Arabidopsis thaliana: one gene and its partner. The protein of the gene in region 2 interacts with the protein of the main gene of each other region in a pairwise test. Each region holds a gene or a part of one and is shown on either strand. Other genes may lie near its edges.

Region 1 (4,868 bases), on a different chromosome or scaffold from region 2:
ACAAATTTTTGATATTTCTATATCATTAATTTTTTTCCTTATCACACTACTTGGAGTGAAAATGACAGATAACCTCCTAAGATGATTCAAGTTTGGCTGGATTGAAAGCTAAATGGAAGTACTTTCTACATCATGCTAATAAATTTTGTTCCCATTGGTTCAAATAAAAATTAAAGAAATAAATATATATATATATATATATATATATATATATATATATTTCTAATATCCAAAGTCTCATTCAATCGCATTCGATAAATTTTATACAAAAGACAATGCAAGGCTAATTAAGGGTGTGGAATTGAATATTTTAAGAATCCCTATCATCAACTTACCAAAAAAAAAGAATCCCTATCATCAACCATCACTATTACAAATATATAATTATATTGAACTAAAAAACTTCAAGAAGATTCATATGAAGATATTAAGATTTAAAAAACCGGAAAAAGATAGATGAAGATGAACCACACACAATAATTTTACTCCAAATATAAACAAAAATATATTAATTATGCAATATAATATATATATATACACATATATATTTATAATATTATATTATTTATATCGTTTAGATCGATAAATCCATATCATCAATTCTACTATGGAAGATAGTGTGATTTGCTCGAGCCGAACTCCTATGAAATGAAACTATATATAATAAATATATATATTAGTAACATTTGAGTTCACAGTATTGAATTTTCTTTCTTGTTGGACGGAAATCCAGATACATATATTGGCTTCACCATACCCTATTTAACATACTATAGTATTCTTGGTTATTTCCAAAAAGTGAAGATATTCTTGGTTACAGTTAATTGAACTAGTGTTGACAAATCATATGCTATTGACATTTGACCACGAATTAGCAACCGGTGGGCGCGTATTGGATAAACTAGCCCCTCCTTTTGGAAGTTTGACTCCTTGACCGTACACAACTTTTGTAACTGTATTTTATCCTAAGCAACACTTAATCATTTACTTGACTTTCTCATGAACCCACACGTGTAAAATAGCATACTCTATTTATTCCATAAAGAATTGTTGTAGATTTTTCACACATTACTTTTTTTTTAATTAATTCTATCATATATTATAGAAAAAGTTTCACTCAAATTTATGTATTTTTAGCTATCTATTAAAGAAATGAAACAACATTATAATATCCCTTACGTTTTATTGAAAAATATAAATCAATAAAAGCAAAAATAATTATTTAAAAATTATAGATTTAGAAAACAAGGAAATTTTTATATATATAGAAGTTATGTATGATCTATTTTTTTTTTTTTAGTAATTAAGTGCTGATTTGGGCTTTTACTATCCTACTAAACCACTTGATAAATGTAGCCGTCGAGTAGTTCACTAACCTGATTTTCTAATGGGTTTAAGGTATAATACCATTTCGACTAGCCAAATGAGAGATTTAGTAAACTTCGCGGTTGAGGAGAATCAATCCCTTACTCATACCTAGATGCTGACTCCTCCACATGTAGAAACCACTAAACTATTTCAGGTGATTTACTAAGAAATTTGGAACATGTCCTTCATAACTTGTAATTTGGAATAATTTGAGGGTATTCACTTACATTATGAACACACTTTTTCTCTGACATATCTTCTCTAACAGACAAATAATGGCAAATGGCATGAGCATCTAATATATAACTACATAATTCTCTACGTAAATATAACTCCAACTTGTATTATTATGTAACCGAAGATTACGTTAATAATAAAAAATTTAAATTGTTAATCAGTTTCGTGACACCCACTAAGATTGTACATTATTTTCAACGAGCCAAATAATTGAAACTTGAAAACTAAAACTTCTACTCTTTTCAACGTACACGATAATAAATGAACAAATGCAACCAATTTAGTAAAACACATTCACACAACCCCTGAGTTCCTCTCAATTTCATTTAACAATCCATAGCTTCCGTAGTCATCTTGATTATGTTTTAGGCCTCACTTCAATACCATCAATCAAAATGCCACCTTTTAGTTGATATCCTTTCACCTCTGTAAGAGTCATATTGACTTCATCATCTTCTCCTTCTCGTGTCTCAAACTCTCCTAACTCAATCTCCATCCATCCGTCATCTCTACATTTCGGCTCTCTCCTTTTCCCGTCCCCGCCAACCGCTTCCACAGTCATCGCCATTCGCTCTTCTCGGTTCCCGTAAAATAGCCGCTTCATTTGTTGTTTTTTCTCATCCAAGCAACATAGATAAGTTGCACTCTTACTAATTTGACCGTTTTTAGATTTAATCGAAGTCTCTGCCGGAACTAGGTCAAGTCCGTAGGCGCCTTTTGTTACTTTCACTATGAGATATGCTCCGTATCTTGTGTTTGCTGATAAAACTCTGGTTTGGATTTTACCCTCGATTTCTAAACGATCGGTTATTATAAGTTCAGCTGACTCCGAGAATCTGAAATTTTTAGAAATATATATATATATATATATATATATATATATATATATATCTATTGTTAATCATGGTAATAATTAAAAATTGTAAACATTTTCAGTAAATGTACACAAAGCATATTTAGATGTTTTAAGAAAAGAAAGAAAAACAACTGACCTAGAATCTGAGACATTGCTCCAAGACCAGTAAGATGCATGGTCACTATGTGTTATGGAAATATCTCTTGCTGATAAAACGTAGGAAATTTTTCCGGAAAATTTATTGATCTTGAACAGCTGAAATTGCATCATACACGGAAGATATTATTAGTTCAAGTAAATAAGAAAGATATCCATTTTTTTGTTCAAATTTAACTCATAGAAATCGAACCTTTCGAGCATTATCGATGAGAAGAGAGTCACATAAACATCGATAAATTTCTTTTTTGGAAGAAATATTCCAATGATGATCAGTAGATTGAGAGATGAGGCTTTTGTAATCCGATGGTAGAAACTTTTCCCATACGAAATCAGAGTCTCCGGCTAACCGGAAAACCGAAGAGACCTCTGACGACGAGAATGCATCCGCCGGAGATGTGAAGGCAAGGATGTTGGCTATGCATGCTTCTGGTAACATCATCATCTTCTTCTTCTTTTGCCGAGTAAAAACTTAATATATCTTTAATTGTTAGTATTATGAAACAGAAAGGTACTGAGTTCTTAGAATTTGAAGAATTTCGTTTTGTGAGTAAATATGATGCTTTGATTTTTTGTAGCTATGATAGATGAAGTATGCTTGGAGATAGAGATGGTGAGAATATATAGTGATGCTTGGGCATATTTCTGTTGACCATTTTAGACCAATGGTCAAATATTATGGATTTATATATTATTTATAGCTAGCTTCGAAGTAAAAGTGTTTGGTCGTTGGCCAAAAGTAAAAGATTGGCCTTCCAAAAGAGAAAGTTAACGCGGAAGAGCAAATAGTGTTGTCCTTCACTCATATTTCAAAAAGTCTCTAAACGATTTATTAAACGAAAAATTAACAAGATTATCAACGTACATATTGTTTTTTGCTAAAATATTTGTAAGTTGATAATTTGGTAAATTTTTCGTTTAATTAAATGTTTAAAGATTCTTTGAAAATAAGAACACGTTTATAGATTATTATTTTTACATACAGAAAACGTATAGAGACTTATGAGTAGTGTGACTAATTTTTGTTTTTTCGGTTTAAAAGTCTGTCTTTGAAAGCAATATCTTTTTTTCGGTTCAGTATTTCGAATCTCCGTTTAATTTTTAATCAGTTCAAAAGCAAACAAATTGTTTTAAATTAATGCTTAAGCCTTTGAGGACGATGTACCGTTAGATATACGACGAATATTGATTCTCATCCACTAGGAGTCTAGGACCACTATGATTTAATTTGTATATTTTGTGTAGTAATTTTAAAGACTTGAATGGATGGTATGAGGATGGAGTGGTGATACTTTAATCAGTAAAAAAGATCACCACATTAGATATATAACTTTGAGAGTAAAGCTTTCAAAATTGCTTAGGCGCTGGTATTTGCTGCAATTTTCTTTATAAATGTGCAATGAAGAAACTATAAGAGCAAGGAAAACTCTGAACAAGCGAAACAACAACAAGTACATTGAGTCCTATTGGCCAAGAGGCAAAAAGGTTGGTATTATTTAGCTAAAAAGTCATTTAGTGGCCAAGAGGCAAAAGGGTTGGTGACTTGTGTTATTTATTTTTGAATGCCTAAATTTGGGTCAAATTTTGGATGTTGATTAGGTTCGACACCAAACATCGAGTCCTTTGACATTGAAAGATCCTGTTTCTTTCTTTAAGAATTATTTATTGACTAGAAGTCGCTAATCATTAACATTGTTACAATATTAATTGACTTTACCTTTAAAACCACTAGTTGACTTTTCCAACATCTCTACTATAGCCGCCAAAACTCATGGACCATAGTAAACTAATATTAGGAGTTCATTATTTAGTTCTGAATCTAGTGGTAAGAAATCATTCGGTAGTTTCGATTGTTATAACATTTGTACAAAAAATATATGGTACAATAATGAATTAAATATACAACAAATATATACGAAACAATGTCTTCTTGACTTAAGAGAAAAGAGTAGAAGATTTCTCTATATTCAAGTATGTATTTGCAATTTTATAAATAAAAAAAAACGGAACTACTTGAGCTTATTTACCGTGGAAAGCCAACCGGTTTAACCGATTTACCAAACCGAACTCCTTCAGGTTAGCCAATTTCAAACAAATTCGTTTCAGAAAATTGCTCATATGAAAAAGCAGACCAAAACATATCCACCATCCTAAGATTCATCTACAAGTGAAAGACAAGGTAATAAAGGAACAAAATATGAAAATGTGGGTGGGTTATGTTACTTGGATAGCAACTGATAATTAGCCTCAC
Region 2 (6,554 bases):
TCCTATTACAAATACAATGTGCCTATCTCAAAAGCTGATGTGTAAGAAACATGCACTTGAATAAGCCATGCAAATTGAAATGTGTCAACTCCATTTATTTTTTACAGAGTGAAGCCAAAATTCATTTTCGGATGAAGTCATAAATAGCAATTTAAGTGAAGTGTAAATTGTACATAGTCGACTCTATATACCTGGTTCTTATCTCATTCAATTTATCCTCAACAACTTTAATAGAAAAATATCAAATAAATTCCCTATAAATAGCTTCACATAATGCAAGTGAGAAACCACAAAAAGTAAGAAATATAAGAAATAACAAAATGGCTCGAGTCTCTTCTCTTCTTTCTTTCTGCTTAACACTTTTGATCCTTTTCCATGGCTACGCGGCTCAACAGGGTCAGCAGGGTCAGCAGTTTCCGAACGAGTGCCAGCTCGACCAGCTCAATGCGCTCGAGCCGTCACACGTACTGAAGAGCGAGGCTGGTCGCATCGAGGTGTGGGACCACCACGCTCCTCAGCTCCGTTGCTCAGGTGTCTCCTTTGCACGTTACATCATCGAGTCTAAGGGTCTCTACTTGCCCTCTTTCTTTAACACCGCGAAGCTCTCTTTCGTGGCTAAGGGTACGTACGACTCTTTCTATATCGAAATTCGAATTCATGACTTTATGGTTCATGCTCTTTAGGATTAGTCCATAATCTTTCAACTTTAATTAAACCTATATAATTTATGTGTTACATTCTTAGGACGAGGTCTTATGGGAAAAGTGATCCCTGGATGCGCCGAAACATTCCAAGACTCATCAGAGTTCCAACCACGCTTCGAAGGTCAAGGTCAAAGCCAGAGGTTCCGTGACATGCACCAGAAAGTGGAGCACATTAGGAGCGGTGATACCATTGCCACAACACCCGGTGTAGCACAGTGGTTCTACAACGACGGACAGGAACCACTTGTCATCGTCAGCGTCTTCGATCTAGCCAGTCACCAGAACCAGCTTGACCGCAACCCAAGGGTATATATATATATATATATATATATATATATATATATATAACAAAACCTCATTACAAAAGAATCATTATATTAATTACAAATTAACAAAAATAATATGGTTTATTCTTTTTGGTATTTTATGAATGAAGCCATTTTACTTAGCCGGAAACAACCCACAAGGTCAAGTATGGCTACAAGGACGAGAGCAACAGCCACAGAAGAACATTTTCAATGGATTTGGACCCGAGGTTATTGCTCAAGCTTTGAAGATCGATCTTCAGACAGCACAGCAACTTCAGAACCAAGATGACAACCGTGGAAACATTGTCCGAGTCCAAGGACCGTTCGGTGTCATTAGGCCGCCTTTGAGGGGCCAGAGACCTCAGGAGGAGGAAGAAGAAGAAGGACGACATGGACGACACGGTAATGGCTTAGAGGAGACCATCTGCAGCGCCAGGTGCACCGATAACCTCGATGACCCGTCTCGTGCTGACGTGTACAAGCCACAGCTCGGTTACATCAGCACTCTCAACAGTTACGATCTCCCCATCCTTCGCTTCATCCGTCTCTCAGCCCTCCGTGGATCTATCCGTCAAGTAAGTAAACATAAATATTATGTTACTATAACCTAGTAAAATATGCATGCCTGATGCATGTTAATATGTCCATTTCTATATTTAAACATGACTCTTGAAACGTGTGTGGGTGTAGAACGCAATGGTGCTTCCACAGTGGAACGCAAACGCGAACGCTATTCTTTACGTGACAGACGGGGAAGCCCAAATCCAGATCGTAAACGACAATGGTAACAGAGTGTTTGACGGACAAGTCTCTCAAGGACAGCTCATAGCCGTACCACAAGGTTTCTCGGTGGTGAAACGCGCAACAAGCAACCGATTCCAGTGGGTTGAGTTCAAAACAAACGCTAACGCGCAAATCAACACTCTGGCGGGACGAACCTCAGTCTTGAGAGGTTTACCACTTGAAGTCATAACCAATGGGTTCCAAATCTCACCCGAAGAAGCAAGGAGGGTCAAGTTCAACACGCTCGAGACCACTTTGACTCACAGCAGTGGCCCAGCTAGCTACGGAAGGCCAAGGGTGGCTGCAGCTTAAGAGCTTAAAACTGCAGCTTAACAATGAACCTCGAGTACTGTAAAAGGAAGTTAAACAGTACGTAGTAATAATAATAATGTACGAAAATGTGACTAGTTTTGTTGAGGTTTACCTGTAAAATGCAACTCCTTTTCTGAATAAAATCTTTTCAATTTTCGATCAAGTTAATACAAATCTAGGTCTAAATTAGGTTCTTAATCATAGAGACTAGTTCTGATTTTTATGATTTAATACATTTGAATCATCATATTATTTTATATAATAATCCAATATTAACATTAGACAAGTCGCCAAAATATTGTCATGCTTAACAAATTTATATTACCTCATTTTCTTTATCTATTTATAATACATCAAATGCTTTAATTTTAATTTCAAATATCTAATTTAATCCGTGCATAATTTTTTCAATAAAATAACAGTGTTTTTATCTAATTAATAAATAAATAATTTGTGGGACCTTGTAAACATATTTACCATATATTATTATTTAAATTAATAATTAGATTTATTAATGAAAACTGACGTAACGCCGTCGTTTTAATTCTTTGTCGGTGAGCAACATAGAGTGACGTGGCAGCTATCTGCTGGTTAAACGTATTAGCGGAAGACTAAAGTATGTAAATCTAATGGACAGAAAAGTACATAACGTGGCCGAAATCTAATGGCTAATAAGGTCTTTGTTTAAAACGGAACGTATTTAAAGGCCAACAGATTAAGCAGAGGAGTTATACTTTACTACTTACTAATCTCTCCCTCTCTCTATCTGACTCTTTGATCGGAAAAAATGGCGGAGAAAAATGCGAGCGCGGTGGACGGTGCAATTAGGGTTAGTGGAATGCAGTTTTCTTACGATGTTCAAGATCCTATTTTCTTCGATTTTAATCTCGATCTTCCCGCTGGATCTCGTTGCCTCTTGGTTGGTGCCAATGGATCTGGTAAAAATTATTCGAATCATTTCGATTTTGTGTGTGTTTCTGTTTCTGTGAATCTGAAGTAGATCGATTTGGGACCTTGACGAATATAGAATGTATTATGTGATTTCGTGTGATTCTGTTTTGGTAGTGTTGGAATTCGGTTTAATTCGTCGAATTCGACTATATGTATAGAGTTTGAGTAAGTAAGATCGATTTTTCGACTATATGTATCATGTTAATACTCGAATTTGATTGATTCTGCTGAGAAGGTGATTGTCGTTGCGCGTTTCATTGACAGGGAAAACTACGTTATTGAAGATTCTTGCTGGAAAACATATGGTTGGAGGAAAGAATGTTGTACAAGTGCTTGATCGCTCAGCATTTCATGATACAGAGCTTGTTTGTAGTGGTGATTTGTCTTACCTAGGAGGATCATGGAGTAAAACTGCTGGTTCTGCTGTGAGTACTGAGATCTCAAAGTTAATACACTGCAAGAGTTTTGATGTGAGAACGTTTTGTTTCTAATTCTTTAAAATTCTTTAGGGTGATATTCCACTCCAAGGAGACTTCTCAGCAGAACATATGATATTTGGAGGTGAGATTCTCTGATCCTAGTATGAGTTTTTAGTGAATTGTTTCGTTGTGCTTATACTCTGAATATGTTTTGTGTTTAGTTGAAGGGATTGATCCTTTCAGAAGAGAGAAGTTGATTGATCTTCTTGATATCAATCTTCAATGGCGTATGCATAAGGTTTCTGATGGGCAGAGACGTCGAGTGCAAATATGTATGGGTCTATTACATCCGTTCAAGGTAGTATAAACAACAATCAACTCTTCATTGTGGTCTCTGTTTTTTCTTTGATCATATCTGATACTTAAATTGTAATGATCACAGGTATTACTACTGGATGAAGTTACTGTTGACCTCGACGTTGTTGCTAGGATGGATTTGTTGGAGTTCTTTAAAGAAGAATGTGAACAGGTAAGCCATTCACTAACCCCCCCTCATCTTATGTTTAGAAATATCAAATGCTGATTTTCATGTTTTATATTTGAGTAGAGAGGAGCTACAATTGTATATGCAACTCATATTTTCGACGGGCTCGAGACATGGGCTAGTCATTTGGCTTACATTAATGGAGGAGAGCTGAAACTCTCGGCCAAGTTAGATGAGATCAAGGATCTCAAAACCTCACCAAATCTGCTATCTGTTGTTGAAGCTTGGCTCCGGTCTGAAACCAAAGTTGAGAAAAAGACGAAGAAGAAACCTGTTGTTACCTCTCCATTTATGTCGTCTAGACAAATGGCATATTACCGATGAATCTTAACTTGTTTATGAGATCAGTAAGAATAAGAGCACTGCTTCTACAGATGCCTTTGTTTTCTATGGTACTTCATTGTTTAGAATCCGATAACTTTTATCACACATGAAAGAATTTCTGTAAAACCACGTTTTTAATTAAATTACTATTTTGCCAATATTTAAGAGCTTATATTCAAAATAGGCATTTTAAATAAAGTTATTTCAAAATAGGTATTTTAGACAGTTGAATGTAACAGTATCGATTTATTGCTTCAATTGGGACAATTTTGTCCTTGTCTTCTTTTCTCTTCTTCTTCATCGAACATAGTTGCAGAATCTGATCAAATCGATTTCTTCTTAATTTTTCAAGCAAACTTAATTTTTTTTTTTAATTACACAATATTAAACCTTAAGATAGTATATAGGGAACCCAATCAAAAAATTTTATAGATTTTATGGAATTTCAGTTCTGATTTTGTGTATATATGCATGTATATACATGTGTATTTGTGTAATTATGCCACTGAACAACAACCCATAAATTATAATTGAATTCTAAATCAACGCAAAGGCATCTCGATTCCTCTTTAAACTTCACTTAATTGGCTTTTTGTTTGAGAAATCATAAAATTTGGAATCAGACATCGCCATGGAATATCAAAATTGTTTTTGATACCGACATTTCTCTATTCATCATCTTCATCGGCCAGATATTCCATTTTGATCAGTTTCTGAATTCCAATTTCAACGCTGCATTAACTTAATAAACTATTATAACCAAACGTTGAGGATTCAACGATTGAAACCGTTCACATGTCTCGTCCTTTGCGAGTGAGTAAATAGAACGTGTGGAGAAGATGACACTAGTGAATGAGGGAGAAAGATGACTTTTCACGTAGTGATAGTACCTGTTTTTGAATGCTGGGTCAAAAGTGCCTAAAAGCAAATATATTTATAAAACAAATGCCTTATTTGAAATTAACTCAATATTTAACTGTTTATGTCCAAATTTTGGTTTGGAGCGGATCCTTCTTAACACTCGCATGGCAAAATATCCGATCGAATCGAACCCAACCTAAACCCGAAGTTAAACCGAAATACCTACTCATAGTAGAGAAATCTAAATAAATACTAAATCTTAACGTTTTACTTTTATTTTTAATAAACTATATAAAAATAGAAAAGCATGTACATGTTTTGCCTTTTGCGTTTATAGTTTTTCTTTTTCAACACAAAAATTGCTGTAACACAATAAAAAATATTAAAATACTAGTGTAAAAACAATTTTTGCAAAATTTAACAACTGTTAGAGCATGTCACGCTTAACCTCTAAATATCAAAAACCAAAAAACCACCATATTAACTTTTGTTCCCCTCTTCACACACCTTTTTTTGTTTGTTTCCTACACAAAACCTTAATCTGGATATTTTTGTTAATTTATCCGACTGTAAAAATAATTAAAACCTAACTTATCAATAAATAAAAAAAAATCTTTTCTAAAGGAAACCCAAAACAAAAAAAACACAAAGGCACGACAAAAAAATGTCACAAATCTCCATTTCTTCTCGTCTCTCTTCGTATTAACCAATTTACCCAATATTTCGTGCCCAATTCTCGGGTCAAATCCATCTAAAAGTTTGTGCTTTTCGTATTGGGATTAGTTCGATTTCTAAATCTGATTTAGGGTTTTAATCAATTTGGCAATCGGGTCTCTTGCGATGAAGTTTTCGGAGATTTATTGATTTCATGGTGGGTTTTTGTTTTCGAAGGTCGTTGATGAAGAATTGACTTCTGGAATCTCAATCTCTGAAGGGTTTTTCGATGTTAAATCCGTGAATCTGAGTTTTAAATGCTGAATTGGAAAACAGATCCAGGGGCTAATTAACGAAAAAAGGAGGTTTCTTTTTGATATCGATTTTTGGGAATTTTGAGGTTTGAGAGAGATCGGAGAAGATGGATCTCGTGATCGGTGGGAAATTTAAGCTTGGGAAGAAAATTGGTAGTGGATCATTTGGAGAGCTTTATCTAGGTAACAAAGTAGACGATTTTTTTTTTTTTTTTTTTTTGTAAATTTTGTAGATTTCTTCAATTTTACATGTTGTTAATGTTGAGGGATTTTTGCAGGTGTAAATGTCCAAACAGGAGAAGAAGTTGCTGTCAAGCTGGTAAGAATTTACCACATTTATCAACAACATTAATCTCTCTATGCCAAACAAAGAAATGTTC

The links.
Region 1: the proteins of ABCI21 (region 2) and PP2-B14 interact in a two-hybrid assay, tested with the Arabidopsis thaliana proteins (one large-scale study listed by BioGRID).

Annotation. Positions count from the first base shown.
Region 1 is NC_003070.9:21,059,783-21,064,650, forward strand, and holds PP2-B14 (phloem protein 2-B14), read right to left. Parts: upstream 3,266-4,868; 5' UTR 3,063-3,265; coding exon 2,811-3,062; intron 2,717-2,810; coding exon 2,598-2,716; intron 2,442-2,597; coding exon 1,964-2,441; 3' UTR 1,740-1,963; downstream 1-1,739. Other genes in the region: MDO1 (telomere-capping, CST complex subunit), read right to left, coding at 4,865-4,868. UniProt on the Arabidopsis thaliana protein: Component of SCF(VBF) E3 ubiquitin ligase complexes, which mediate the ubiquitination and subsequent proteasomal degradation of target proteins such as VIP1 and Agrobacterium virE2, after their implication in T-DNA translocation to the host nucleus (can functionally replace Agrobacterium VirF).
Region 2 is NC_003076.8:17,752,013-17,758,566, reverse strand, and holds ABCI21 (P-loop containing nucleoside triphosphate hydrolases superfamily protein), read left to right. Parts: upstream 1-2,798; 5' UTR 2,799-2,894; coding exon 2,895-3,045; exon of another isoform or gene 3,046-3,223; intron 3,224-3,322; coding exon 3,323-3,483; intron 3,484-3,567; coding exon 3,568-3,619; intron 3,620-3,698; coding exon 3,699-3,835; intron 3,836-3,919; coding exon 3,920-4,006; intron 4,007-4,084; coding exon 4,085-4,345; 3' UTR 4,346-4,608; downstream 4,609-6,554. Other genes in the region: CRA1 (RmlC-like cupins superfamily protein), read left to right, coding at 321-621, 745-1,010, 1,141-1,587, 1,703-2,107; ckl7 (casein kinase I-like 7), read left to right, coding at 6,282-6,357, 6,453-6,493.